Drosophila melanogaster: one gene and its partners. The protein of the gene in region 3 interacts with the protein of the main gene of each other region in a pairwise test. Each region holds a gene or a part of one and is shown on either strand. Other genes may lie near its edges.

Evidence for each region.
Region 1: the proteins of crn (region 3) and EloA interact in a two-hybrid assay, tested with the Drosophila melanogaster proteins (one large-scale study listed by BioGRID).
Region 2: the proteins of crn (region 3) and CG12768 interact in a two-hybrid assay, tested with the Drosophila melanogaster proteins (one large-scale study listed by BioGRID).
Region 4: the proteins of crn (region 3) and CG6290 interact in a two-hybrid assay, tested with the Drosophila melanogaster proteins (one large-scale study listed by BioGRID).

What each region holds. Positions count from the first base shown.
Region 1 is NT_033777.3:23,248,221-23,256,833, reverse strand, and holds EloA (elongin A), read right to left. Parts: upstream 5,272-8,613; 5' UTR 4,958-5,271; coding exon 4,877-4,957; intron 4,586-4,876; coding exon 3,998-4,585; intron 3,943-3,997; coding exon 3,565-3,942; intron 3,510-3,564; coding exon 3,292-3,509; intron 3,234-3,291; coding exon 3,139-3,233; intron 3,082-3,138; coding exon 2,882-3,081; intron 2,817-2,881; coding exon 2,525-2,816; intron 2,466-2,524; coding exon 2,386-2,465; 3' UTR 1,763-2,385; downstream 1-1,762. Other genes in the region: wda (will decrease acetylation), read left to right, coding at 1-348, 426-726, 787-1,133, 1,211-1,340; Rad60, read left to right, coding at 5,610-5,667, 5,732-6,234, 6,294-6,407, 6,471-6,577, 6,633-6,811, 6,871-7,093, 7,152-7,242. UniProt on the Drosophila melanogaster protein: SIII, also known as elongin, is a general transcription elongation factor that increases the RNA polymerase II transcription elongation past template-encoded arresting sites.
Region 2 is NT_037436.4:22,907,851-22,915,493, forward strand, and holds the start of CG12768 (uncharacterized protein), read left to right. Parts: upstream 1-2,640; 5' UTR 2,641-2,722; intron 2,723-2,982; exon of another isoform or gene 2,983-3,301; intron 3,302-3,739; exon of another isoform or gene 3,740-3,905; intron 3,906-3,983; 5' UTR 3,984-4,075; coding exon 4,076-4,383; intron 4,384-5,413; coding exon 5,414-6,395; 3' UTR 6,396-6,449; exon of another isoform or gene 6,450-6,908; intron 6,909-7,643.
Region 3 is NC_004354.4:2,245,659-2,252,988, reverse strand, and holds crn (crooked neck), read left to right. Parts: upstream 1-3,005; 5' UTR 3,006-3,125; coding exon 3,126-3,161; intron 3,162-3,219; coding exon 3,220-5,292; 3' UTR 5,293-5,395; downstream 5,396-7,330. Other genes in the region: CG3091 (uncharacterized protein), read left to right, coding at 1-73, 129-265, 324-393; CG3191 (uncharacterized protein), read left to right, coding at 1,152-1,317, 1,635-1,794, 1,895-1,976, 2,040-2,342, 2,409-2,545, 2,602-2,683; Or2a (odorant receptor 2a), read right to left, coding at 5,495-5,545, 5,616-6,758. UniProt on the Drosophila melanogaster protein: May be involved in pre-mRNA splicing process. Involved in embryonic neurogenesis and cell rearrangement during Malpighian tubule morphogenesis.
Region 4 is NC_004354.4:18,434,377-18,440,093, reverse strand, and holds CG6290 (uncharacterized protein), read right to left. Parts: upstream 2,605-5,717; 5' UTR 2,591-2,604; coding exon 1,943-2,590; 3' UTR 1,861-1,942; downstream 1-1,860. Other genes in the region: CG43841 (uncharacterized protein), read right to left, coding at 120-278, 332-400; CG32551 (uncharacterized protein), read right to left, coding at 884-1,198; CG32548 (uncharacterized protein), read left to right, coding at 3,293-4,231.

The DNA of each region.
Region 1 (8,613 bases), on a different chromosome or scaffold from region 3:
GGCCACTGAACAGATACTCAAGTCTCAGGTGGAGTTGCCGCGATTTCTCAGAATCAGTGAACGTTCTCGGGGCCTCACCTCCGCCCATCTGGATCCCAGTGAGTGCCACATGTTAGCCGGGTTCGACAATTCTGCCGTACAGCTGTGGCAGTTAAACCAGAGCTACTGCCGCGGCAAGAGCTTCTACAGACGCTATCCGCAAAAGCGGTGTCCCTGGGAGCTGAACAATTGCGCGAATCAAGAGGAGGAGACGGATGAGGACAGCAGCGATGAGGATGTCAAGTGCTCTGAGGAGGAGAGACGGGAACGCAACAGGGCGCGACATTGCAAATATGCTGATAACTCCTAGTAAGTTCATCTTCCAGGTTTAGTATTGGTTTTATTTTTCAATTTTTAATCAACTAAAGTTTTTTTTTTCTAATTAGCAACGAATACGGCGGATTTCAGCTGCGAGGTCACACAAAAGGAGTCACCGATGTGCGCTTCTCCGCCCACTACCCACTCATGTATAGTGTGTCCAAAGACGCAACCATGCGGTGCTGGCGTGCCCACAACCTGCATTGCGCCGCCATATACAGAAGTCACAACTACCCAATTTGGTGCTTGGACGAAAGTCCAGTGGGCCAATACGTGGTAACGGGTTCCAAGGATTTGAGTGCGCGCCTCTGGTCGCTAGAGAAGGAACATGCGCTCATAATTTATGCCGGGCATACACAGGATGTTGAGGTTGGTTTAACCAAAAATGTCTTTGAACTTTTAGTTATATATATTTTTTTTTTCTGACAGTGCGTTGCGTTCCATCCGAATGGCAACTACATAGCCACAGGATCGGCAGATCACTCCGTTCGCCTGTGGTGTGCAACCAGCGGAAAATTGATGCGTGTCTTTGCCGACTGCCGTCAGGCGGTGACCCAGCTGGCGTTTAGCCCAGATGGAAAGATGTTGGCTGCCGCCGGAGAGGAAACGAAGGTGCGTATATTCGACTTGGCCGCCGGAGCACAGCTGGCTGAGCTCAAGGATCACTCGGCGAGCATTAGTTCTCTTTCCTGGAGCACGCACAATAGGCACCTGGCCACAGCGTGCAGCGATGGTACCTTGCGATTGTGGGACATCAAGAAACTATCGCCCATGAGGTTAGTTATATTTGTGGAATGGAAACGGAGCAATTTGTTAATATTGGTAATGATGATTTATTTTGGTTGCTCCACAGTGACAACAGTAGTGCTGGAAGCTCATCATCAGCTACAACGAATCGTGTGCTTACTGTCAATAGTTCCTGCCAGCGCTTGGTCGATGTTTTTTACGGGACCAGCAAGACGCTCTACTGCATCGGCACTTAAAGAAGACGGTTGAAAGTTCAGCCCGAATTTAGACTTTCTAGTGACGACTTATGTTTGAAAATAATTTATTTTGTAATAAGTTGTATATTATTGTTACTATCGTGTGAAACAATTCTTTATATAAATAATTCTTTTGATTTAACAATCCTGGTAGCTTTCTTGTGGAATAAAACGAGTTGGTTACAGTGTAATGCCTTTACCTGCATCGTCTACTGGTCACAGCTAAAGAATGTCTTTCAAAACGAAGTCATGGCATAAGTAATGAGTGGCCAATTTCCACAAAAGTTGAAAAATGTGTAACTATTAAAAATAAGACGAGCATTCGAATCGAATTTCAATTGTTGAAGTGATTTTTTTTAATATATTAACATTTTACCCAATACCTAAAAATGTGCAAAACTAAATAAATCTAAAGGTAATATAGAATTTTTTGGTTGAATTTAATTAGCGATGCATTAAGAGACATTTTACTGTTCTTCAATAATTTAGGTAGTTTCATATAGGTTTAGGATTGTGTAAATACATTTATATACAGCTTGGAACCTCTATGATTTTGGACATACGCACAGCCCTTTTGAACAAAGAACATTGAACTTAATTTTTAAATAATGTTGGAGTGATCAGCCTTCTGATCGTAAGTTACATGCAATCAATGAATTGAACAACTATAATCAAATATCATAACTTATGTAAATGAGCTTGTCTACGACCCAGCGGGATGCAACAAAAGCTTTATCTTTATCCGGTTGGCTTAAATATAGTGACTTATACAGCGTAATAAAAGAGGGCAGAACATGAATAAATAATAAATAGCATGCATATGCTACGCATGCCGACAGCAGCAGTCTGATTCCACAGCGCACTGGGAAGTAGAAGGTCTAGTATCACAATGTCACTTTATTCAGACCTGAAAGTCTTTGCCAATAAAGTTGGAAGGTAATCCCACCGTGAATGCCTAATAGATCGAGGTTGCTGCTACTGCTGCTGCTTAAGTTGTCGCTGAAGAAGTTGAGTATAAGATTGTAGCTATAATGAGTAAGCGCATCTATCGTTTGAGACGTCCGCGCATAAACTGCAAGGTCTTCGCCATTAGAGGTGCCTTCTTCGATCGCGCTGGTCCAGCCCCTTTTCAATAAAAATTATAGGTAAATTTAATTCTTAACCACAATCATTACAATACTTACCCACTTGGGCCGTGTCCCTGGCAGCGGCCAGCACACGTAGTCGGGCATCGCCCACCTTGGCTGCATTTGGAGTCACGCTGGACAAGGCGGCCACTCGGGCGGCTGGAGTGGCAATTAGCTTGCCCTTGGTGCCATATTGCTCTTGCTTGCGCTGCACACTACGCGGCGGCTTCACCATTGAGTCCACAAAGGCCAATTGCGTCTTGCGCACAGGCGCCTCGCTTATCTTTTGCGATGCCTTGATGCTCTCGGCCAGAATGCTAAGTTTGCGATCCTTTTCCTCTTGGCAGCGCTAGAACGAAATTTTTGTGTCAGCTTAGTTTAGTTTGCATTAATTTAGGGTCTTTGCGTCCCTACCAAAAACATTTCGCGCCACGTTTCCATCTCTTCACGCCGCTGACTGCGACAGTGACGTTGGACATGCTGTTGCCATAGGACATCACTGTCATCCATTAAATAAGGATTGTACTCCTCAAAGTTAAGCAGCTGCTGGGGGGTAGCTCGCTCCAAAACGGGACGTAGGACCTCAAACGGAACGCCACCCGTATACTCCAATGCTGAAAAACAATTAAGATGGTTATTTACATTCGATATGACCATTAGTAAGATCTTACCATCAATATTCTTTTGCAGCACGCGGGTGCAGAGATCAAAAAGGGAAGGGACCTGCAGGATTTGACCAGTTCTCACACCCGAATAGATCTTGGTGCTACAAAGTATAAAAAGTTGATATACTTTGTGCATCACATTATAATATCCTAGCTCACCGCATAGTTTTGGAAGAGATGCCCTGCGCTAGAGCTTCTGACTCATTAAAGTATCGTGATGCTTGCGCCTTGTGTGAGCCACCCTGGTTAAAGACGACGTCCATAACTGTCTGATTTAATGGCATGGGCTTGTAGTTATTGGATATGGTGGGAAGTTCTAGTGCAATGTTTGGATCCAAGGGCTCCAGCTTAGCTGTGGATGCCAACAGTTCGGGTTTCTAAAGAATAAACATATGTTACCACAACTTATAAAAATGAATTTCTACTAATTACTTTGGAGGTCGGTCGACTGCTAGTTGAGAGTGCCTCTTTAGATGACCCAGCAGTCGTAGGTGCTGATAGAGCTGACGAGGAAGGGGCTGCAGTTGGCTTGGCGACAAACTTGCTCTTGCTGTTGCTGCTGCTCTTCTTGCTACTTATGGGTATGTTTAGCAGACCAAGAACATCGTCAAAATTTGCGCCCATGCTGGAGTCAAAACCATCAGCGGAATCTTCCTCAGATTTCGATTTAACTTTTGGTATCTTTGCTTTTTGGGACTCCTCCTCGTGGCGTGGGGGACTATGGGAGCGCTTTGATGACTTGGAGGACGATGATTTGTGTTTGCTCGACTTGTCTTTGACTTCCTTTAATTCACTGTGAGAAGTTTTGTCCTGAAAAAAAAATGCATAAGAACAATAACCACTTTTGATCAAGAGGAAAGCATACCTTTTCGTGCTTGCTTTTGGTGTGTTCGCTCTTGTGGCTCTCGGATTTGCTGCTCTTGTGACTGCTGCTGGATTTGCTGGAATCCTTTGACTTGTGCTCGCCATTTGACTTCTTTTCTTTGTGCTCCTTAGCTTCCTTCTGACCCTCCCGATCTTTATCTCTATCCTTGGATTTATCGTGGCGAGAGCTCTTGTGCTTCTTATCCGAGTCAGACCTACTCTTGGAGTGAGATCGGCTGCTGCTGCTACGCTCATGCTTGGTGCTCTTGGCATGCTTTGACTTGTGCTTGCTGGTGTTCAAGTCCTCGCCGCTGGATGAGTTGCCGCCCTTGTTCTCCTGGTCGGGATCCTCGTCGCTGGACTTGGTCTTGCCCGAGTCCTCTTCGTTATGTATGGCTGTAGGCGTAGATGCGATCGAAGGGTCCTCCTTCGCCACCATTGCCTTCCACTTGGTTACCAGCGTCTTGGCCGCCACGCCAACTTCCCCGCTGATCTTGCGCAGGGCATTCACCGTCTTGCCAATTCCCGTTTCCTGCAGGTGCTCGAATTTGATCGGCAGGTTGAACAGCTTGGTGATGCAGTGCAGCAGCTGCTCGACGGGAGAGCAGGTAGCGAAAGAGGTGATTAAGAAAGATTAGCAAAAGACCGTGTGAGTGAAAGGTCAGCGGAAAAGAAGAGCGACTTAAAGTCGAGAAAAGTGACCTTGGCGGAGGTACATATGTTTGCGAATTTCACAAGGTTAAGTAAGGGAAAGCCAGCCAGGTCAGGTACATAGGGGTGATTAAATGGTTAGGAAAATGGGGGACTTGAATGATAGGAAGGCAGTAAGCAGTGGATCAAAAGGGATGCGATGGCGGTGCCAATGAGGGTAATAGCTCACCCGTTGTTCGTCCTCGCCGTGCTTCTCAATGCTGCGCTGGTAGTGGCGCACCACGTCCAGCAGATTGCTGGTGGAGGCCATCGCGTCGTCTCAAAGTATTCCACGCAAAATGAAATGAAAAAAATGGCACGCAGGCAGACTTTGTCGTCTCTTCCCGTTTTCTTTTTCTCACTTTCAGTTTACTGATTTTTTTTTAGGGAATCCAGGTAAACACACACGCACCCAAGGGCAAACACACGCACACGCACAAGTGCACACACACACGCGGAAAAGCCTCTGGTCGCGAGGCTCTAAGTTATTTTCAATAGCATTACGGGCCTTTATTATAATACATTCGATTTTTGCTTTTGCCAGGCCAGCAGCGTTGGAAACTAAATGAGATTTGCTTTTGACGGCGTGGCGCTTGTCAACACTGGCCAAACAGCTGTCGGCCAGAGTTGCTCTACGTCACAGTAGGCTTGTACAAACATTTAGTGAATTCAATCGTGATAATACAAATAATTAACATGTCCAAATCATCGATACACACATTAAATAAAATCGAATTGTAAATTACATTTGACTACCAGCAAATACTTTGATCGTGGTCTCGTGTCGTGTGGCTACCCTGGTCACAGTAGTTATCGGATATCGATTTTCCTTGCAACCACTGTGGCGTCTATTTGGTTTTGTGTTTGTGTTTATTGTTTGGCGCCGTTATTGGTTTATTACTGACTGTTACTGAGTGCCCACGATGTCCGACGACGACTGCGATATATTCAGTGCTGCTCGCAAGCGGATTCCCGAAATAGGTTAGCTTTAAACTGCAGAAATCCAAGTTTTTCCACATACCTTCGCTTTTGTCGTCTTTATCAGCTTTGCCCAAGAATCCTTACAATCTTGGCAATGATTCCTTCTCCAAGGAGGTGGACTACGATTTCATTGAAGACCTCCCCAAGAAATCAACTAAAACTGGCAAACGAAAGAACCCTGCAGCGACGCGGAAAAATCCACCCAAAAGTCAGGATGATGCTTCGCCACCAAAACAGGCAGAACATAAGGCTGTGGAGCCAGAAGAGGATATGAGAACAGAGCGCTCCCTATCACCGGTATCCCTGTTGATATTGGAGATGGAAAAGAAAAATGGCCAGCAATCGGATGTGGAGAAGCACGCCAAAGAAAATGACGTTGGTCCTGTGGCCAGACGCACACGGTCATCGTTAAATAGGTCAGAAATGGCGCCACCACCTGTTTCACCGACTGTGGAGGTGCCCACACAGACGAAACCAAAGAAGCGCGGCCAAAAAAAGAGAACATCTCTAACAACCACAACCAGCAACTCTGCTTCGATGGAGGTCTCATTGCCAAGCATTGTAGGTGTATGTTTGAAATTTCGAATAGAGATCTTGGGTATTTTCTAATCTCTTCATATTTGTAGCAGAACAATGAGCACATTAGCAGACGGTGGACGTTGGCCGAAGTTGCAGCCCGTTCCAAAGTGGTGGACAGTATTGATCTGGTATCTGCGGTCGCTCCCCGAGTGGAGGGATTTGTAAGTCCCTAGAAAGAAGTTGTACTATTCAATAAGGCTAATATTATACTTATTTCTTCACAGGTTAATCTAGACTCTGAAGACGAGGGTGAAAAGGAGGCTCCTCCTGTCGTAGAGGAAGAAAATATTTTTGATAACGATAATCCCACAATAGAAGTAGCTTTGTCGTGGTAAGTTTTAATATATTTATCCTTTTTCGTGATTAATATAAATATTTTTATGCAGGCTTGGCGAGATCCAGATTTATAAATTGCGGCAGCACCAAAAGTTTAAGCATCTGTTCAAGGAGTTAGCATCACGCAATGGGATAGATGAGAATGATATAACGGTGGATATGTACTATAACTTCGTTGGACCTGAGGATACGCCGCACAGCATTGGTCTCAAATCATTTCATACGCTCAGTAGGTGTCCTCTATTCAGATATATATTATTATTTGAAAATTTCTCAACTATTTAACAGCTGGCCATCCAACAAAGAGTCACAATAATAACAACGTGGCTGCTAAAATTGACTACAATCCAGAAGCTCTTTGCCGGAAACCTAAGAAGTTTCAAGTTAAAGTACAGGCGGATAAATGGAAGCATCCTTTGGTGATACCCATGAAGAAAACTGATAATTTCAAAATCATATTTATTAAGTGTGCTGAGGAGTTGAACTGTGATCCCCGAACCATTAAATTGTTGTAAGTACTAAAAGCTGGAAAAAGTAGAGACAATCCACTGAATTTGAGGTGATTTCAGTTTTGACGGTGACTTGTTGGATCCAAATGATACGCCCAATAACCAGGATATGGAGGGCAACGAAGTTATAGATCTTAAAATAAAGGCTTAAATTTTGAGCAAATTTATCTATTCTAGCCGAAAAATATTTTTAAAAGAAATTATATTAATGTTTTGTTTACGATTAGTTAATTGCTGTGCAAGATTTATTTTATTATCAAATGTTTCTATGTATGATTGAATATTTCTAATTTTCTTTGTACTTTTATTTGTTTCATTTGGGATGATTTAAGGAATATATTATTTGTTTTTCTACATTGCAGTCACAAAATTCCATTACATTGCGTACAAAAACAACAAAAGCGTATTCGCACTTCGACTAGATTTCAGCAATTTGTCACCAAGTGGAGCAGCGGGCAACTTCCAAAAAACCCTCAAGCATTCATTATACACCCCTAATATTTTGTTTATCTAGCATATAGCGCACTCACACAGAGCTGGAAACAGATCCCAAATGGTTGTTTATATTGGCAGGAGGAGAGCGGATGCTGCTGAGGGGGATGGTTTGTGGTGGGTTCAGTAGTTGCCTCCTTCCACCGGCTTTGCTCTCTCTCTCTCTCGCTCTCTCGTTGCTCTCTGTTCCTTATTCTTGTGCGGCTTTCCTTGGAATTTCACTGCACAAATTCTGACACACGCAGGATAATAATCTCTCTCAACTGAGAGCAACTGAGAGAGGAAAGCTCTAATGGGAAAAGCTCTCGCCAGCTGAAGGGAATTTCCTCATTTCGCTTACTTTTCAATCAGAAAGAGTTTATCCTTCGTGCTTGATGGACGCAACATTTAATTCGCGCTTTTTCTGTAAAACAAAGAAAACCAAAAAAGTAATTTTCAATCGCATGAAACTCATTGTTATTGAACTCCGTTTGTTTTCCAATTTGTTTAACCCCAATTCCGACGCTCGTTGTGTGTTTTTGTAACGAATGCAGTGAATATCAAGTGAAACGTACAACCAACTTGTGCACATATATATTATATGTGGTAACCAACAGTGCTTCTCTATTTGGCGCCTAAAAACGGAAGGATACTCGTGGCTTAAATCATCAGCTCTAGGTAAAATACATCCTCCGAATCGTGTTGTTTGCATTGCCGCTTTGTGTAGACATCCCGAGTCCTCGGAGGCTTTTGCTCACTCCAGCCAGGATATCCAAACATCCAGCCATCTATCCATCAAACCGCTGGCATTGACAGTGACGACTGACTCTGACAAATGTGTTTGTCATGTTTACCTTGTGGCTTAAACAAGTTAATTGCCGTGCGCCAGACACGAAAAACCAACAGTACACATGAAGCAGCCAACTCCTTCCGGCTCATACATGTGTCCATCAATTATTCAGCCTGATTGTGAGCATTAAATATTGAAGCTATGTACTGCTTATGAGCTAGAAGATCGCATACTCCTCACATACGTACACTAGTTCGTGCT
Region 2 (7,643 bases), on a different chromosome or scaffold from region 3:
GATGTCCAGTCATATCGGCATCAAAGACAATGCAACAACCCTATTAACCGTCAGAAATTATAATGGCACCGATATAAATATTTATAAAAAAAAGGCCAACATGACAAAACCAATTAGATTAGGAATTCATCTCCCTGATACCTACCAATCTATAACCCCAAATTATCGAAAACATTACCGATGATACCAAACACTGTAAAAACTATTATGTACCCAGAAGAGAAGAGAAGAAAAGAGATATCACAAAAATCGTGAGGCTACGTAGGACACACCAGACTGACCCATGAGCATCGATTCTCCCAGCCAATCAACCGTCAATGCAATACGTACCGAAATCAATTTCCCACATCCTAGACGATTGCATCGCCCTCCAAACACATGGATCCAGAAAACCAGAATTCAAACCAAAATGCTGTGGCACAAAGATCAAACATAATACTACCAAAATTGCTTCACTTGGGTGAAAAGTGAATCCTCGAACATATCTGGGATATCGATAGATATTGGGGAATAAAAGGAGGACAATTTAAAAATTGTGACCGTTTTGGTCGATTTGTAGGTTTTAGGGCGTTAGAGTGGGCGTGGCAAAAGGTTTTTTAGCAAATCAATAGAAATTTTCAAGACTAATAAAATTATATAGGCATGGCTGTTTTGTACGTTAGGGTTTTAGAGTGGGCGTGGCAAAAATCGATACTCGAAAATATACTTTATATGGTTGGAAACGCTTCATTCTGCCTATTACATACTTTTCAACGAATCTAGTATACCCTTTTACTCTACGAGTAACGAGTATAATTATCTTAATATATCTTAATATCTCCTTTATAAAGGTGTTAATTTTGTGCACAAAAAGTGGGTAAATTTCCCATAGTGCAATGGAAACACCATTAAAGCGTCGTGTAAAAAAGTTGGTCAATTTTTTCTAATGGTTTGTACTGTTCCGGGATGGCACAACAACTTGGAATCACATTTATAAGTTTTTTTTGTGAATTGAAAAACTAAACTTAAATCGCAAATACATATATCAATAGAACAATATGAATGTTCTTACTACGTAAAATAATAGGCAATTTTCCCTGGCCCCTAACGGAACCGAAGTCGCCCTACTCAGCTGATTTTATCCCAATCTGACACGCCCGTGACATGCTGTTGCCTATCCGAAAATATTTGTGTACCACGGATTACATTGCAGTAATGGATTTAATTTAAGCTGTGGACCGCGTTCGACTCAACTGCAGATTCATCAGCGCCGAGAACGCATACTGATAAGTCGAATCAGAATCAGACAAAGCGGTATGCTGCGTTCTGCTGAAAAAGGAAAGGGAGAGCGAAAACACGGATGGCTGTGTTGGTGCGATTGATAAATACGAGTTCATTCTTAAAGCTTATTTTTTAGATGACCAAGCGGGAGACAACAACGAGTAAACAAGAGCAACAGCAACAGCGGGCAATAAAGTTGATTGCAGCAGTGGCAAATTGAATATTTGCCAGCGCGCGTGTGTGTGTGCGCAGCCTTTTTGTTTGTGCTTGTTCGCATTGTTAAATATCCGCACCAGCAGTGCAGCCAAATGGGATGATAGATGCCGAATGCCGAATGGCGCGCGAGCAGAGCGAGTGGCTACCATTGTTAATCCGCAGTTCGTCCTCTGTGCCCCTTGCCTCCTCCCTCGCTCATTCCTGTGCCACAGCTCAGCTTGCTACCAAAACTCGACCTCGACTTCATCCCTTGCTCTCTCGGAACTCTCATGCTCAAGCTGTTGCTTCAGCTACAGCTCAGCGTACAATTGTTGCTTTGCGGAGACTGCGCTCATTGCCGGGTGCTGCCAATCCTGGGTGCAATCCGTTCATTATTTATCCGGCTGGTGGTAAGCAAATAGCGCTCACAAGCCACTTAGTGCTATCACTCTTGGATTAATCACTGGGCACGGCTCGGCGATAACGTGTCACTGCCACAAACGGAACCGCAACGGCGATAAATATTTTTCACAGCGAAAATAACACTGCCTAACAAAGTTTGAAACACTGTGACTAGAACATTTCCAAACTTCAGCTATTTCTTCAGCTATCAGTTATATATTTTAGAATAGATAAACAGAATATATATAATGCCATTTATGTAATGATTTCGATGAATAGATAGATGGCTAATATTTTACCGGTACTCCACCAAGGTGTTTTAAAGAAGACGGCTTTAAAGGTTTCCTATAATATACATTTTTTTATTAAATTTCATTTTATTTATTTTAAAATGCGTCCCGTTTGAGTGGAGGATATGTCTAATATAGTCCTAAATAGATACCAAGTAAATATCTTTTCGTATCACTCCACACACACACAAAAAGTTGAGTTTATAATTACATTATTCACGCAGCCCTCTAGGCTCCCTCACTATGCCAATTTCTTTTGTTGTGTAGTGTAATAGCATAGGATTGGCAGCCTCCGATTGTTTACACCAGCGTAGGCGGCACTGCAACAACAACAATAGCATCCTCTGCTCTCATTCTCTCTCCCGTGCTTTGCGCTCTGGAGCGGAGCAGAAAAGAAAAGCGCCATTCGCTCACTTTCTCTCCGGCTCTCTTTGTGCTGCTGCGCCAATTTGCAAGAAAACTAAGTTGGTTTGCTGTGCAGTTGTGACAATCGTCGAGGAGAGCAGCGGCGCACTCTCTAAAAGGAAGCTGCCAAGCCAACGAACGGCCAAGCGAGAGGTGACAAGTGAAAAGTGGCAAGTGGATGTACCAAATAGTGACAGGTTCACTAGTAGTAATCGCAAGTTAGCTGCCCGTTTGGCTGCAGATTTTCGTCAAAGTTCGCTATTCGTGTTGTTTTTTGATGTTTTCGTCTCTCTCGGCTGTCCGCATAGGCAATGTGTGTATACATATACGCGATTTCACACTGACAACAGGGCCGGGCGCGTGTATGAGTGTGGTTATTTTGCCGTGTTGCCGAACATCTGTATCTGTATCTGAATCTGTGGCAGCCAATAGTTGTGGCAAGGCCCTCGAGCAACTCGCAACACAACACATAACAACAGCATCCCCAATAAGTGGCAGCAACTACGCCGCATGGCAAAGCACCAACGGCCGCATTTGTTGTTAATTGAAATAAATTGAAATAAATTCCCCGACTTTGCTGCTCATATTGTTAATAAAGAGAAGCCGGAGCGACGCAACAGCGAATCAGCAGCAGTAAACAAAACTGTGAGCAAAAGGTTTTAGTTCCATTCCAGGCGTCAGACGACTTTGAGTACAAGCGACAAACAACCAGAACATCTAAGGAATTCCGAGCGAACAATGTGAATAATGTTGGTATCACAAGCAATTGGTGGCAATAACCAAAAAGAGCACATGCGTTTATTTATAGACCCCAGTGTGTTCCCATTAGTGAGTGTGTGGCGTGCTGTGCACTGCAAATGAGTTCAAGCTGCAGCCAAAGAGAAGGAGGCGTCCTACCAATACCAATCCTTGTGTAGTCTTGTTCCCTCCACAATCAGATCGGTCGCAGACCAACAGTAGCAGCTGAAATTCCTCGATCGGCACACGAAATCGTATGTAAATACTTTCCTGCCGAGTCAGCCTCTCAGAATGCCAATGTTTACAGTATTCGATTATTGTTTAACTAACAGCCTCTTATGGGAAAGTGGAATACATACATTAATTGATGGGGGAGGTGGGGGTTGGGGTTTGTAGGGTCTGCTATAAGCAGATTTCCCGTATTTGATTTGTCCCCTCTGTTGTCTCAGTTTCAGTGGGACCCATACTCCCGAAAATCAATTGTATTTAACTGTGCGTATGCGATTTCGAAAACAAAAACACCCCTCCTGCTGGGGTCATTGCACCCAAGGTGCGTGGGTGCGTGTGTCAACACTTTTGAACCCCTAAGCACCCACCCGAGAAATACGCCGAAAAGTATGCAACGAACATGGCGACCATCAGCACAAGCAACTTTAACGATTTTCTCACCTCATTTCTATACTTACTTTGCAGCGCAGCATCCGGCGACACAGGACATGCGCAGTGGCCTTTTTGGTAGTTGCATTTCGGCCAACAGCGACTGAAAGAGCAGAGAGCGGAGGAGCATGGCCTTTTCCCGCCACAACATCGAGAAGCGCCGACTCATCGAGCTCGTGCGACTCAACCCAATCCTCTGGGACTGCCGCCTGCCACACTACAAGCGTTCGGACAAGCGAAAAGCCATCAAATGGAACGAGTTGGGGCGGCTCTTCAACGTTAATGGCGAGCGGGTGCAGCGCACGTTTACTTCGCTCCGCGAGATCTTCCGCCGCGAGCTGAACCACGAAAAGATGCTGGGCACCACGCGCTTCAAGTCCAAGTGGGAATACTACGATGCCATGGCCTTCCTCAAGGAGGTCATTCGGGAACGCAAGTAAGACGACGTTTGACCTGCCCTAAAATACTACCTTATGATATATGTAGATCCCGTTTAAGGGATTTTGGACATTCCAGTTATTTGTTCTAGTGTCTTTGGAAAAAGGGTTTACTAAATTCGTTGAAAAGTGTGTAACAGGTAAAAGGAAGCGTTTTCGACCATATAAGGTACATATATATATTTCTGAACAGGATCAATAGCCAAGCCTCGAGCTCAGGAACTATAAAATACCACACTTTTGAAAAATGTTTTCATTTTTCTTGGTTTCATTTTTTTTATCTTACCGATATACCAAAAACACTTTGGCTACGCCTCTTCTGAAAAATTCAAACCGCTCACAACAATTTTAATTCCCCAATATCTATCGACAAGCAAGGAAAATTATAGAATTTCGCGTTCGCACTAGCTGAGTAACGGGTATGTGATAGTCGGGTTTTCGACTACAGCAATTGTGTTCCGATTATAATCACTGAAAAAGTTGTTTGAGCAAATTCGGAGAGAGGTGACCGCGAAATAATCACCGTCACTTAAAAGCCTAAACATATTTACATATTCAACATTTAGATTTTGATTTTACGCGATTTTTAAGTTTTTATTGTTATAAGAAGAATGATTAGTGTAAGGGATTGGGAATATAAATGTCGAGATAGTTCTCAAAATAATACGCAAGTCACCTTCCTCGGTTACAATAAATTTACATTGATTTTACTGAAATCAAATCAAATAAAAACTAGTTAAAGAAAATAACTGTTGTCTACCGAATAAGAACAATGACGCAGATAAGAATATAAATGTCTAGATAATTCACAAGGATTGTGTGCAAGTCAAATCTAAATTTAAGCATTTAGGAAGGGTATACATAGAAATTCTATTAAAACTTTGAATTTGTTTCATGTGGTCGGTCCAGAACTGACCAACAGGCAAGAATGAAATGCATGCCTGCGGATCTGCATCATAGCACCTATCTGCTAACCTTGAGGCAAGCACCCGCTTTCCAAAAAAGCTAATTACAACTTTTGCTTTTTAGATCTCGCGAGCGCATCAAGCACGGCTCTTTGGATTCAGCACCAGTAGCCACAGGCAGCAGCAACAATAACAACAACTGCGTAAGCCGCAATAGCAGCAACAACAACAGCAGCAGTGCGGCCCTAGACGAATATCAGTACTTTGCTCCTAGCGACCCCAACAACCCGAACAATCAGCCCCAGCTGCAGCCCGAACCAAAGAGTAGTCTGCCAGTGACTATTCCCAGTCTAAGTCTCACCCTCAGCCAGTTGCCGGTGGCTCTGCAGCAGCAGGCCCAGCATCTCCAAGCCTTACAGTTGCAACCGGACGTGACGCTGACTTCCCTGCAGAAACAATCTTTACCCACTTCCCTTACCAATGCCACACCCGCGCCCTTAGCACAAACCTCGCCCGCCCAGGTGCTGTCCAGCTCGCGCTCATGCAGCTCTTCGCCCTCCATCTATATAAAGGACGAGCCGTGTTCTCCGGCAGGGGGTTGTCCGGAAGAAGTGATGACCGGAAATGGACCAGAGGCGACAAGGAAGAAGCTGGCCACAATTCGTCCGCAGACCAAACAGCAACTTAAAGCGCGTCTGCAGCTGCCCACGCCCAAAAACTCATCATCGTACGCTACGTCGCCGCCCCATTTGATCATCAATGCCAACAACGAGCTTATTGACACCGACGCCGGGGACCTGGAGGAGGATCTGGACGACTTCGACGAGGACGACGACGTGACCGGACGCTGCTCACCAATCGTCGGCCAGTCGGAGACGATGGGTGCCGACGGCAGACTTTCGGTCGGAAGCATTTATATCGGTGACGGTGGCGACTGCGGAAGGGGTATGGGTAGAGCCCACACTCAGGCGCGACACGTGCCTACCTCCAGAGAACTGCTCTACATGAAATTCGGTGACTTTCTGGCCGCCAGATTGAACACTTTGCATGAGACTGTAGCTAATGAGCTGATGAACAAGATGCTTCTGCTAATTGCAGAGAAGTGAGAAAAGCGGGGACCGATGTCGCCTCTAAAATTATTGAATTTAGAGTTGCGTAAGGTAAGTGCATTCAAATATGGAAATGCCATCTTACACAATCAGCTATCAAATAAAAGCGTGTAAGTAAGATTGCCTCGGCAAGCTGATGCTTTACAAATTACGGATGACTACCGAATAAGAAAAGAACACTTTGATTTCTTTTCTATGATTTGCAAATAATTTTTTGACTTCGCCTACTGCAGCTATATTATAAAGTCGTCCGATTTCGATCAAGTTATACCAATATATTGTTAAAAATATGGATCATACCGAAAACTAAGGGAAGTACAGTTGTGTATTTCAAAAGCTCATATTGTGGCTATGTAATATAGTTGTCCAATCCCGTTCCAACTGAAATACAAACTGGCAATAGAAGGACTTACATCTGGTTTTAAAGTTTAATATAACAAACTCATTACGATGTTTATAAAAATTAATTTTAAAAACAGCCTTTTCTTTAATAAATAAAGTAAAAATATGAACTTCGGCGTTATCAGTTAACTGTTAACCTTAAAGCTATCTGCATAAATATTCCCATTAGTTTCCAATTTGTTTCTCCAATATCTACCGATATTCCTTTTTAATATGAAAATTGACCTACTATGTCCTTCTTACACATTACATTGTTAATTTTGTTATCACTTTTTGGTGGACTTATCGATTTATCTTTTCATATACAACACATTGACTATTGAATATTTCTGCCATAGAAAATGTTTCAAAATATTGGAAATGAAATCATATTGTCCATTTGTTACCATATTTGTACGAGTGTTTGCATACTTCAATGGCTTGACGAAGCTAGCTTACGTTCTTGTTTTTAAATTGAAAATGAAATTTACTAGTTCTCCAGATTGCCAACCTATTCATACAAAATATAAAACGTAGTGTTACTTTCTTGTAATTTCCACTAGCTGAGTAATGATCTATGATTACTTTAATATTTTAAGGTAACAAACTTTATAAAATTATAAATAAGTTTGTTACCGCATTTAACATTGTTAAGCTTGTTTCCTCTTGGGAAAAGAGTGTTCTTATTAATTGCAATATGTTGTGTGTTTGGTGCTTGCGCCGGAAATTCTTGAACATCGTGGCTCGCTGTACAAATTTATTGCTCTGACCAATTTATTCAGCAACACACACATACTTAAATTTTGAGTTTAATTTACACAGCAAATACCAGGACCATAAAAAAGTTTTAATTTCCGGACGCTG
Region 3 (7,330 bases):
CAACTGCCCCACTTACCTGGACAAGCTCATATCCATGATGTCGCCCTTCCTAAGGGAGGAAGTCCGCAACATGGTAGAACCTGAAAAGTACTTCATTCTAAGCACTAGCTAACCAAATCGTCTTGCAGATCCGGTACCACACAGAGGGTATGGATAGCCTTTACAAAGAAGTGCCCAGGGACATGTTGCCGAACGAGTACGGCGGCAAGGCGGGCACTGTAGCGGAACTCAAGGCGAAAGGCATTCAGTCCATCAGGGACAACGCGTGAGTATTACCTTTAGATGGGGATGTCCATCTTAGCCACCCATTCTGTACTTCATAGGGCTTATCTCAGCGACGAGCGGTACTGGAAGGTGGCCGCTCAGAGCAAGAGTCGGTGGTCCTGGTTCTGATATCCTGATCATCGAACGTGATATAAACATAAATGTGATCAAGCATCGCGTCTTGCCAAGCGAAGATATCGATTAGTTGGGAAAGTCCCAGAAACACTTACAGGTTCTAGAGCTCAGTGAAGCTGGCCCTCCATTAAGAATTCTTATTTTCATATTTTATTATTTTCTTACCAATTTCTCTATTATCAAATAAGGGGCTATTGTCGATTGATTGACAGCAATGGGAACAATATACTTGACAAAACAATAAATTATATTAATTACATTTTATGAGGTTTTATTACACCCAAAAGCCAGGTGGCTTTCAATGTTCTTCTATGATTACAAAAAACAAACGCTTCTTAGAAAAATTGCCCATCCCGCGAATTATCAATTAAAGTGAAAATTGTGTCACTACTTGCGATGGCATTGGGATGCGGCACACGACCAGGTGATTAGGCAGATCCAGAAGCTGGAACGGAACATATTTAGGCACTATTAAGCGTCGTCCAAACGATGGCCGAAAAGCCATTAAAAAATTACGTGGCTTTAATTGCCAACGCAGTAGCATTGAATATTCAAAAACTAAATCGATGAGCGAAATCGATGCGCAACTGTCAGTCAGTCGGCTGCCAGGCGTCAAGCCCAAAGGTTTAAAAGTGATTCGAAAGCGTTTTTGAAAGTGATTCGAAAGCGATTGCTGCGTCCGATAGCCGATAGCAGACCAACCTGGCGGAGGGAACAGCGACGGAGCAATCGATACCCAGGCCACAGCACCAATGAGCCGCATAGGTGTGAGAGAGACTGGGGCGAGCGGTACGTCCGAGCAGCTGCAGCGGGAACAGGATAGCGACACATCGGAACAGGCGGTGCGGAAGCAGGAACGGGATCTCAAGGAGCTCCTCGAGTGGTTCCGGCAAAATGACAAGCTGCCCAAGGAGATTGGTAAGCGATGAGCCCGAAAACCGTGCGGGAATCCAACATCCGTTCACTGCCCATCAGTCCCATTCCACCTCCCACCACCCACCGTCCATTAATTAGGTCGTTAGTAGGCCGCTCCGCTCGCCGCCTTACGTCACTGTAGTCAATTGTATACAAACAGTGAATGTACAGGCAAGTCTCCCTAAATCGAACCGCACTTCCCAATTCAATATGTCCAACACGATGTTTGAATTAATTAATATTCCCGTAATGTGCAAAGTTCCATGGGCTTAACTCCTTAGCAAAAACTTCATTGTATCGTACCATATGTGTATTAACAGATCCGCTGCTGCTCCGGCGCTTCTACCAGTGCATGTTTGGAGACGTGGAGGAGACTCGGAAGCTCATCGAGGTGAACTACGCCCTGCGCAACCGGCACCCTCACCTGTTTATCAAGAGGGATCCTCTAGACGCGGACAGCAAGCGCACCTTTGACTACGCGTAAGTGTGTCCTTATTGGGAGAAAAGATTCCCTTTCCTTTGAGGCAGGGCCATGTTCCAAAAACATACATACCCGTATACCCCAACACTCGAATTTCAGAGACATTCTACCGCTGCCTGGCCTAACGCCGGACAAATGCAAGGTGTCGCTGTACTGCTTTCGGGAGTTCGAGGCCTCCAAGGTGAGTAATAGCTTCTCTTTGCTGTAGGAACTTGCGCTCCATACCGCCGATTGCTATCCCCAGATGCACCACACGGAGGACACGCGCGCCTTCTTTATGGTCAGCGACTGCCGGTTCGTGACGCCGGACGATCTCGCCAAACCGGATGTCCTGTCCGAAGGAGAGGTGCAGATATTCGACATGAAGGGCACCACAATGCGGCACATTTCGCGGCTGACGATCAGCACGCTGCGCGCCTACATCAAGTTCCTCCAGCTGGCATTTCCGGTGCGCCTGCGCGCCATTCACATGATTAACTGTCCAACTTACCTGGATCGGATCGTCAGCGTGGTGAAGCCGTTCATCAGCGACGAGGTCTTCAAGCTGGTGGGTTTCTTGAGAAGCCATTATGTCTCTAATAGCTTCATCTCACCATTACTTTCTACACTTTAGATCCGTTTCCACACGCAAAGCATAAATACGCTGTACGAGTTCGTGCCGCGGGAGATGCTGCCGGAGGAGTACGGCGGAGGAGCCGGGTCCTTAGAAGCACTGCGGACCCATACCCAAAAGGCCTTGGTTGAGCATCGGTGGGTTTCGATCTGCATGTTATAGTTATTCAGTAACGCCTCGTTGCCTTTTGTAGCGACTATCTGATGGACCCCGATCACTGGGTGGTGGTGAAGCCGGAGAAGCGGAACGAGAGTTCGTGGAGATTTTTCAAATGATTACCTAGAACATCTTCCACGGTAGCAAGGAGTCTCCTTCAACTGAAGACGGTTAAAAGTGTTTCAAGTGTATTGGGATAAACAGTTCCTGTGGCTTTTCATCTCTTAAATATCCATTTTTTTTTTAAATTTGTGTTGAAATTGCTCAAAAATAAATAAGTAAAAAATGCGTTATCCGTTTTATTTTTAACCCAACAATGTACAATTATTATACTAGTATATATTTATGGAAATACAACAAAAAAAGGGATTTAATTGAAACACACATTCAAAAGTAGAATGCGCAAAAGGCCAGTGGAGACAAAAAGCGATTATCGATAGCGAACTATCGAAATATGCCTATCGTTATCGCACGACGTTGTTAGTGGCATTATTTATTTTGTTGCGATTTAGCGTTTTTCCAACATAACATTGCTAAGTGAGGGACCCCGAATCGCACAGCATGGAGCGGCCACAGAAGATGCCCAAGGTGGCCAAGGTATGTGCCATCGTCGGCAATCCACCAAACCAACTTATCCAATCCAAAATTTCACCAGGTCAAAAACAAAGCGCCGGCGGAGGTGCAAATTACGGCGGAGCAGTTGCTCCGTGAGGCCAAGGAGCGAGATCTGGAGATTCTGCCGCCGCCGCCAAAGCAGAAGATCTCCGATCCCGCCGAGTTGGCAGACTATCAGCAGCGGAAGCGAAAGACCTTCGAGGACAATCTCCGCAAGAACCGCATGGTAGTCAGCCATTGGATCAAATATGCTCAGTGGGAGGAGCAGCAGCAGGAGATCCAGCGGGCGCGCTCTATCTGGGAGCGGGCGTTGGACAATGAGCACCGGAACGTGACCCTCTGGCTGAAATACGCCGAGATGGAGATGAAGAACAAGCAGGTGAATCATGCTCGCAATCTGTGGGATCGGGCAGTGACCATCATGCCGCGAGTCAACCAGTTCTGGTACAAGTACACCTACATGGAGGAGATGCTGGAGAATGTGGCAGGGGCGCGACAGGTGTTCGAGCGCTGGATGGAGTGGCAACCGGAGGAGCAGGCCTGGCAGACCTACGTCAACTTCGAGCTGCGCTACAAGGAGATCGACCGGGCACGGGAGATCTACGAGCGATTTGTCTATGTGCACCCGGACGTGAAGAACTGGATAAAGTTCGCCCGCTTTGAGGAGTCTCATGGGTTTATCCACGGCTCTCGGCGGGTATTTGAGCGCGCTGTGGAGTTCTTTGGTGACGACTACATCGAGGAGCGCCTGTTCATCGCCTTTGCACGTTTCGAGGAGGGTCAAAAGGAGCACGACAGGGCGCGCATCATCTACAAGTACGCTTTAGATCACCTACCTAAAGATCGCACACAGGAGCTGTTCAAGGCCTATACGAAACACGAGAAAAAGTACGGCGACAGAGCGGGTATTGAGGATGTGATTGTTTCCAAGCGCAAGTACCAGTACGAGCAGGAGGTGGCCGCCAATCCCACCAACTACGATGCCTGGTTCGACTATTTGCGCTTGATTGAGGCTGAGGGCGATCGGGATCAGATCCGTGAGACGTACGAACGGGCCATTTCCAACGTGCCGCCTGCCAATGAAAAGAACTTCTGGCGACGCTACATTTACCTTTGGATCAATTATGCTTTGTACGAGGAGCTTGAAGCGGAGGACGCGGAACGCACGCGGCAGATCTACAAGACCTGTCTGGAGCTAATACCTCACAAGCAGTTCACCTTCAGCAAGCTTTGGCTGCTGTACGCCCAATTCGAGATCCGCTGCAAGGAGCTGCAGCGAGCACGCAAAGCTCTGGGCTTGGCCATCGGCATGTGTCCCAGAGATAAGCTCTTCAGAGGCTATATTGATCTGGAGATTCAGTTGCGTGAGTTCGAGCGCTGCCGCATGCTGTACGAGAAGTTCCTGGAGTTTGGACCGGAGAATTGTGTCACTTGGATGAAGTTTGCCGAGCTGGAGAATCTGTTGGGCGACACGGACCGGGCGAGAGCCATTTTCGAGCTGGCGGTGCAGCAGCCGCGCCTGGACATGCCAGAGCTGCTGTGGAAGGCGTACATCGACTTCGAGGTAGCCCTAGGCGAAACAGAGCTAGCCAGACAGCTTTACGAGCGACTCCTTGAGCGGACGCAGCATGTGAAAGTGTGGATGTCGTTTGCCAAGTTCGAGATGGGCCTCAGCCACGGCGACAGCGGGCCAGATGCGGAGCTGAACGTGCAGCTGGCAAGGAGAATCTATGAGCGAGCCAACGAGATGTTGCGTCAGCTGGGAGACAAGGAGTCGCGTGTTCTGTTGCTAGAGGCATGGCGCGACTTTGAACGCGACGCCTCCGATTCGCAGGAGATGCAAAAGGTAATGGACAAGATGCCGCGGCGCATCAAGAAGCGGCAAAAGATCGTCTCGGACAATGGCGTCGAGGAAGGTTGGGAGGAGGTATTCGACTACATCTTTCCCGAGGACGAAATGGCTCGACCCAATCTCAAGTTGCTGGCTGCAGCTAAGATGTGGAAGACACAAAAAGACAACACGGTGGACGACCCGCCCGCTACAGCTATTGCATCTGAGCCAGAACCTGCAGCTGATGCTGCCCCAGCGGATACGACGGATAGCGGTGACTGATTCACTTCCGCCTAAAAATCGTTGCTTTTGAACAAAGCTAAATATCTGAAATTGCAGATTTTTCGCTTTATTTTTGGATACCTTAGTAATAAACCACTTAAATAAAAAACTATAATGATCTTTTTTTTTGTTATATTATCTGATATATTTTTCTGCTATTGTGCTTTAAAATTTTTCTCCCCAAAAAGAGATTATAAAGTTCTTACTTGGCCCTCAGCAAGAGTGTGAAAACAGAGTATGTGAACCTCATGACCTGGAATCAAGTGAATCATATCATATTTGAATCAAATCAAAGGACATTTGAATATATAATTGTGCCTTGCCTGCTCGAAGGTCTCCAGCGAGAGTGCGATGTAGTTGCCTGCGTAGATAAGAGAAGGCCGCTGCGTCCTGGCCAGGGTGAAGAGCAGTTCGCGCTTGAACTTGGGCAGCTGTTCTATCCAGTTGCAATCGTAGAAGGCATCGCACAGCGCCTCGCTCTGTGTCCGCATCCTGTCCCCAAAATAGCAGATTACAAACACCTCCAAGGTGACGGCCGAGAAAAATACAATCGAGATGATCATGGCGGTGTGGTCGTGGTCATCCGCTACGTACAGGAAGTGCATGGCGACGGTACACTGGACGGCGGCGGAGCAGACGAACTGGGCCATGCAGGGCACTGAAAGGACCCGCTGAATGATCTCCCTCAGCCGATGGACCCGCGCCAGATCGCGGATGCACTCGATGAGTTCCTGGTACACCTCCTCCCGCCAGGCTTCATATGTCTGCCCTTTATTGGACTTTTCCGTCCTGCAGCCAATCCGCCGCACCCTCAGCTCCAAAGCACGCATATGACCCGTGAGCAGGCAGAGAAACGCAGGCGGATAGGAGTCACTAGCGCAGTTCTGTATAGCCTGCACTATCAAGCCGAAGAGCTGGTAGATATTGATGAGCACATAGTTTCTGGTGGAGTGCATCCAGTCAACGCCGAACCAGGCCGGATACAGGAGCTCTCGATCCGGGCGAACGACCACGCGGACGCAACTCAAAGTAGTGCCAAATACGAAAATACTGGCAAAGGTGCGGAAAGTGCCCTGTGCGATATTCACTTCCTTCCTCAAGGCAGAAATCTCCTCGGGATCGCCCACCAGCCGGGCTCTAGCGTCCATGAGCCTTAGGAGAGAGCGAATCTCATGGAGCTGCTTCCTCACCATGTACACATTCGCAAACTTCAAATTGGCCACAATATCGGTAATAGTTATGGTCAGGTTCTCGCACAATCCGGCCATGTTGGTGGTGAACAGCAGCCTGGCCAGCAAGCTCAAGGGAAACAGCACGGTGACCACCAAGTTGACCGTAATGGAGTATACCACGTAAAGCAGGCTTGAAACGCCCGGAGGACGCATCAGGCCAGTGAGCTCCCAAACGCGCCAGTGGTAGTACACAGCACTGTGGGTGTTCAGTTTGAAATCCTCTTGCTTCTCCATTGTCTCGGTTACCTTTGGGCAAATCCATGGGTTCTATTGCCTATATACTCTTGCGATTACCAGTGATTGCGCTATTAGCTATTAGATGGATTGTTGGCCAAACTTGTCGCTTAAGTGGCTGGGAATTGTAACCGTAGGCCCGAGTGTAATGATCCCCCATAAAAAGTTTTCGCAATGCCTTTATTTTTTGTTGCAAATCTCTCTTTATTCTGCGGTATTCTTCATTATTGCGGGGATGGGGAAAGTGTTTATATAGAAGCAACTTACGATTGAACCCAAATGCACCTGACAAGCAAGGTCAAAGGGCCAGATTTTTAAATATATTATTTAGTCTTAGGACTCTCTATTTGCAATTAAATTACTTTGCTACCTGAGGGTTAAATATTCCCCATTGATAATAATAATTCCACTATATGTTCAATTGGGTTTCACCGCGCTTAGTTACATGACGAGCCCTAACGAGCCGTCGGTGGTCTATAAACTGTGCCTTACAAATACTTGTAACTCTTCTCGTTTTGAAGTCAGCAGAGTTATTGCTAATTGCTAATTGCTAATTGCTTTTAACTGATTTC
Region 4 (5,717 bases), about 16 Mb from region 3:
AACACTGGATAACAATTATACGAGGGAAAAAGTTGCGGACACACTCTTCAATTTAATTTAATATTTAGCCACATGGCGTTGCTTTAGAGTAGTACTATGAATTGGAATTCGAATTGAAATTAACCGCCAAAGTTTTGGATGTTCGATGCTTGTTCGGGTAGAAAGGGCGTTCCATTGAATGTCCCGTCACCATACTCCGAACTTTGTGGGCCCTGCATATTGTTTTCGAAGATCTCCTGCATTTGATCGACGGCGTCCATCACATCAGTGGGCATATTCTGCAGGGAATTTGGGTATCAAGGATATACGATACGAGTACGAAGTATCTTACCTGTGACCAGACGGGCGAAATGCTCCAATGGAGCAGACCTAGACTCAGGATTAAAATAGGCGATGTCATCCTGTGATGGCTTCACTTCCCAATAATTGATTGCCAAGAAGAAAGCCAGCTATTTAACCTGTCACTTTCTAGTTATTCTGCTTAATTACGCGAAAAACAGATATGTTTTCATGTTTACATAATCTAGATGCAACATCTAGCATCTGGTTTAGTTAGCATGCGAGGTTGTTATTGGCAATTAGCTTAGTGGCTTACAGATCTAATTAAACCAGAGATGAAAAAATCTCATTTTTGTTGGTTGGAAAAGCATTTTAAGCCGAATCATTCAGTGCCTAATTGGTTATCATCCGCAGATGTATACCATATTACTTAGTATTGTCATTTTGTAGTATTCAAAAAATAATTATAAATACCCGCTTGGAAATGTACCTAAATCAAAAGCAATCAAGTTGGCTTTCAACGGATGATATTTCCCAAATCAAATGAATGTTTTAAATTCTTTGCTACGCTTTATTTGCTCGAAACGAAAGTAAAACGCCCATTTCAGCGGTTAGAAAATACTTCATTGGGTGAATCGAGATCCGTGGTGTCGGAGAAAAGGTTCTTGAGTTCCTCAAAGTAGTTCTTAAACGAGTCCACCATCGCGTTCCAGGCTTGGGTTATATTTTGTCCAAACTCCCGCGCCGCATCGCCGATCCGCTTGTCCAGCCTTGGATCGTCGGGATAGACCAAATGCGGTCGCACATCGTCGTACTCGTTGGAGTAGTCCAGATCGAACTCGTCGGCCCAAGTTTGGGCCACCAGAGCGAGGGTCAGGGCCACGATTAGTAGGGCAGAGAATCTGGGTCCGGAAATCATTTGGCCAACTGTTGTGCCCAGCCACCTGAATGCGCCTTTTGTACCCAGCCTTTTTAATTCAATCAGATTTCGACCAGACACGGAAATGTTCGAAATGCATGTCGAGATGCATCTCATCTGGCCCGGAAGTGCCCACTGACCGTTGGCTCATCGTGACTCGGCTCGTTTCCGTATCTCCCATCTGGACAGCCTTCAGTAGTCGAGTTGCTGTGGTGACCCCAATGGCCTTCTCCTCGGACCACTTTCGATCGGATTGCTCAGAAATGACAGTTCGCTTTTTGCTTTATTGCCTCTGCCTGAGGAATCTTTATCGATTGGGGGTGACTCTTCGGCGGTGACCTTTTTAAAGAGCAACAAATAAGGTTGAGTTCTTAAAGGTATGCCACTTTAAAATGGTAACCGGATTCCAAGTTTTGGGTCACCTTGGTGATATGTTTAGTTGAGCTCACAAGCATTTGTAGTTTAAAGACGGAGTACACGTTTTTTTTGACTCTAATGCCGTTTGGGGTCACCTTTTACCAAAGGTGATTGGCCTTAATTGGCTACTACATTGATAATATGATGGGGTCTTAAAATGGATGTAATCTATAGTACATATTTGAATGAAGACGTAATCGTAATGTTTTTGGCCAACCCAGAAAACATGCCGCTCAACACAGTTTCCGGTTTTCAGTTGATTTTATTGCACTTATAAACAAACAAAAAAAATACACTCGATGGTGGTCGTCAGGGAGCTCGGTGATTCTACGCCGTGGAGTTGGCCGTTTCGGTGATCTTCTGGCGCACCTGCTGCACCACATCCGCTACGTTGTTCACAAACGAAAGCCACATGGCCTTGATTCTGGTGCCCAGGCCCAAGGGATCCGCTCCGTCCATATTCTGTGTCACTTCCATGCCCTTCTCCTCCTGCCGTCGTCGTCGCACCAACTTCTTGTTCTTTTTGCCAGTGGTCTTGGGACTCACTCGGGATCGGGAGGCATTGTTGGCGGCCCGCTTTTGAGCTCGTCTCCGTCTGGCCTCCACGTCATCGTCGGCGGACGCCGCTGTGGTGGCGGCAGCGCTCATTTTCCAGAAGCAAGGAGCGCGTTTGAGGCGATGCAGGCTCCGCCGCCTTCGCTTCCGACGACGATCCTCCTCGGATGAATCGGTGGCAATGGGACGTATGGCATCTCCATAGCCAACGGCCGTTTTCGAGTGCACGGACATCAGGGGATTGTCAATGTCGACGTCGCGGGAGATGGCGGCGCCACTCTGAACTGCCTCCGCTATATTTCCGGCCAGAGACATGGCGCCCATGCCCAGCGACTCTAGCGGATTCTGTGGACCTGGCCTGGCCGCAATCATGGCCAGACCCGCGACAACCAGGAGAAGTGCCAGCTGATGGCGATTCATCGTTTCTAACTGTAAGGTTGCGGCATTGCATCCGCGCTTTTTAAGCCATCGAATCGCGTGATTCCCTTCGATACATATCGATTTGAATCCACACCATGGCACCGATGGCTAGTAGAGATCACAGTAGGCTTTCGGATTGGCCCGACGACAGCTGTCAGGTGTCACCGGACTGGTTGAGCTATCCAGTCAGTATCACTTGCTCGCTCAGTCGGTTCAGATCGGTTCGTTTTACAATTTTTCCCGCTACAGACTTCGTAAACAAATTGTATCAAAATCTGAATTTGAAAATCAATTTTTGGCTATCCACACTCGAGCTACACAACCTCTCGTCAAAACTTTTAAGTTTACATCGCGACAAACGGAACAACAGGGAATCATGAGATCCAGCAAAGTTCGTGGGGGCAACGCCAGTCGATTGGCTGACGCGGAGGGACAGTGGGGAAAGGGATGCCTGGGTTCCCAGCACTCAATTATCAAGAATCACGGGCGTGGCCTTTCATCCGTGAGTAAAGGAAAGCGTGTTATAAGCTCAATTGTATGAATATTTTACAAAACGAAATCAAAAGTTACACATCGAAAACGGCCTACTACTTGCGCACATTAGACACTCATCTAAATATCATTTAAGCCAGTTCAGAATAAGGATAAAATTGTCCTGGTTTAGCTTCCATTCTCATCCGTTTATTCCTCTAACCTATGCAGCAAACTCCCACGCAATTTGGTGGATTCTCGCCGTCGGGACAGCAGTATCCTGCCGTGTACTCGCAGCCAGGATTCCGGGCCGATGGTAAGCTGAAGGTCACGCCCAACTCGCTGCTCCAGCAGCAGCAACAGCAGCAACAGCAGCAACAGCAGCAACAGCAGCAACAGCAGCAACAGCAGCAACAGCAGCTCCTGGCGCAGCAGCAGCAGCAACTCCTGGCCGCCACATCGCCGCAGGTAGCAGCTGCATCCGGACCAGGAGTGGGCGTTAGCGGTGGCGTGGTCAACATGCCCAGCTATGCGGACCAGATGCACGCCGCCTTCCTCGATTATCAGCGCCAACGAGCCGAGTTCGAGCAGCAGCAGCAGCACCTGCTGCAGAAGCTCTACCACTACTATCCCGATGTATCCGGCGGCCTAACATCACCGGCTCATCAGATTCAACCCCAAACCCCCCAGATAGCTGCTCCCGCCGATGTGGGAGGCGCTCCGGCGGGCGTGGCAGCACAGAACGCAGCTGGCCGCTTCGCCTACCGTCGGCCGCAGTTCAGCAACAATGGCCTGCAGCCCGAGCGCCTTGCATCCGGATCCATTGTGCCCGGAGGTCCAGTAAGAGGAGGTCCAGTTGGAGTCATCCCGGGAGGAGTGATCGGATCAGCGCCTTTGCGCTCCAACAGTCTGGGAGGGGGAGCAAGTGGAGACTTCTACTCCACGCAACAGCACATGGGCTTCATGCAGCAGCAGCAGCAGGACGTGCTCCGTGACCAGCAGCAGTCGGTGGCCCATCAGTTCGCCACCAGCCAGTTGGCGCCCACCACCCGCCAGAGCTATGGGATGGCCGTTCCCATGTCCTCCGTGCTGGGATCCCCCACCTACCAGCAATCGCCGGACGTCTCTCATGTGAGCTTCTCAAGCGGCAATCTCAACTACAGCTTCTAATGATGATGAGCTGTTATTCCAAGGACTTCCAAAACTAGTATTTTCATTTTTTTTTCACACACCTTTTTTTTTGCGTAAATTTTCGTGGTATTTGATAAGAGGAATTGTTTAGGGCAAGCAAGAATAAATTTTGTAAGTGATGATAATTGTTGGTTTTTAGAGGGGTGGATGCATTTCAGGCTTATCAAATGGTGATTATGGCTTACGAAGTTACGAGGGTTAGATTTGCCTGAAGAAGAGTTTGAATGTGCACTTCTGGCCTCGAGTTATGTACTCTAGTTAGTTGCTTAATTAGCCCAAATCCATCCTATATGACCCAACAGCATTTCATTACTAATAAACCATCGGCACGTGCTCCGTGGAATCTAGCTGGTCAGTTAACTGGCCCCACTTACCAGATTCATCATGGCTAATGATGGGTCATTCCTAATCGGCAACGCTCATCTTTAACACGCCGCCGAGCTCACGTGCAATAAATGCATTAATATTGCTTTGAACGGACCGCCTTCGCATTGGCACACAATTGCTGCCATTGAATCTGTTTATAGAGTTAATATAATCCGTCCCATGCCATCGTACATCCCACTGGCGGATCCATTTATCCGAGCAGCCAGTCGCAGTCGCAACGGCGACGGACTTCGATTGTTGGGGTATTATTAGACATCCATGGGAATGGACATCCTCTGCTCGAGTCCACCACCACTTGCACCGCCGAGTGGTGCATCAATGAACGGAGACAATTGCCCTGGTTGGCCGGCGGCTAATTGGGACGAGGATGATGCTGATGGGAACGAGGTCACTGGATGGGTGGTGGGGGTTGGACTCAACTGGCCACAGCGAAGCGCAGTCCAAACATACATGATGAGCCCCGAATCCTTTGAGTGGCCACGTGTGCATCCATTTCAATATCCATATCTGCACTGCGAGAAGCCGTGGATTAACTTAATTGAATACATCTACTATATATGAGTAACTAAAAATAACCAAATTTAATTGGCAAACTGAAGGTTAGACCTGTTAGTTATTTTAAGTCCAAGTTTCAAAGATTTCATACATATATAGTTATGTGGAAGGTTGATAGGGCCTTCCGAGCAGAGACCGTTGTGTCCAAAAGATCGTTGCCTCCAGAAACGACTTCGTTGTCGTCTGTAGGTTGAAGGATTGAACTCCTCAGTTAAGCACCCATCGACTTCTTTGTCGATTAAAGAGGGGTTAAAACAAAACGAAAGGTTTCGCTTAACAAATTGAGGGTTTATTCAATGATGTGTACAGATCGAGGTCTTCTTGTCTACTGACTAAAAATAAAGCTAAGCTCAGACAAAAAGCTTAGCGCCATGTGTATTCTAACATAACTTAATCTAATAAGAGGGTATGTAAGGGTATACATGACTCCCCCAGCGTAAGTTTCAAGTATGTGGTTGAAATTATTTCATTAAGTAATACATATGTAAATAATAGGAGTACAGAAATGTTAGGTTTCACAATC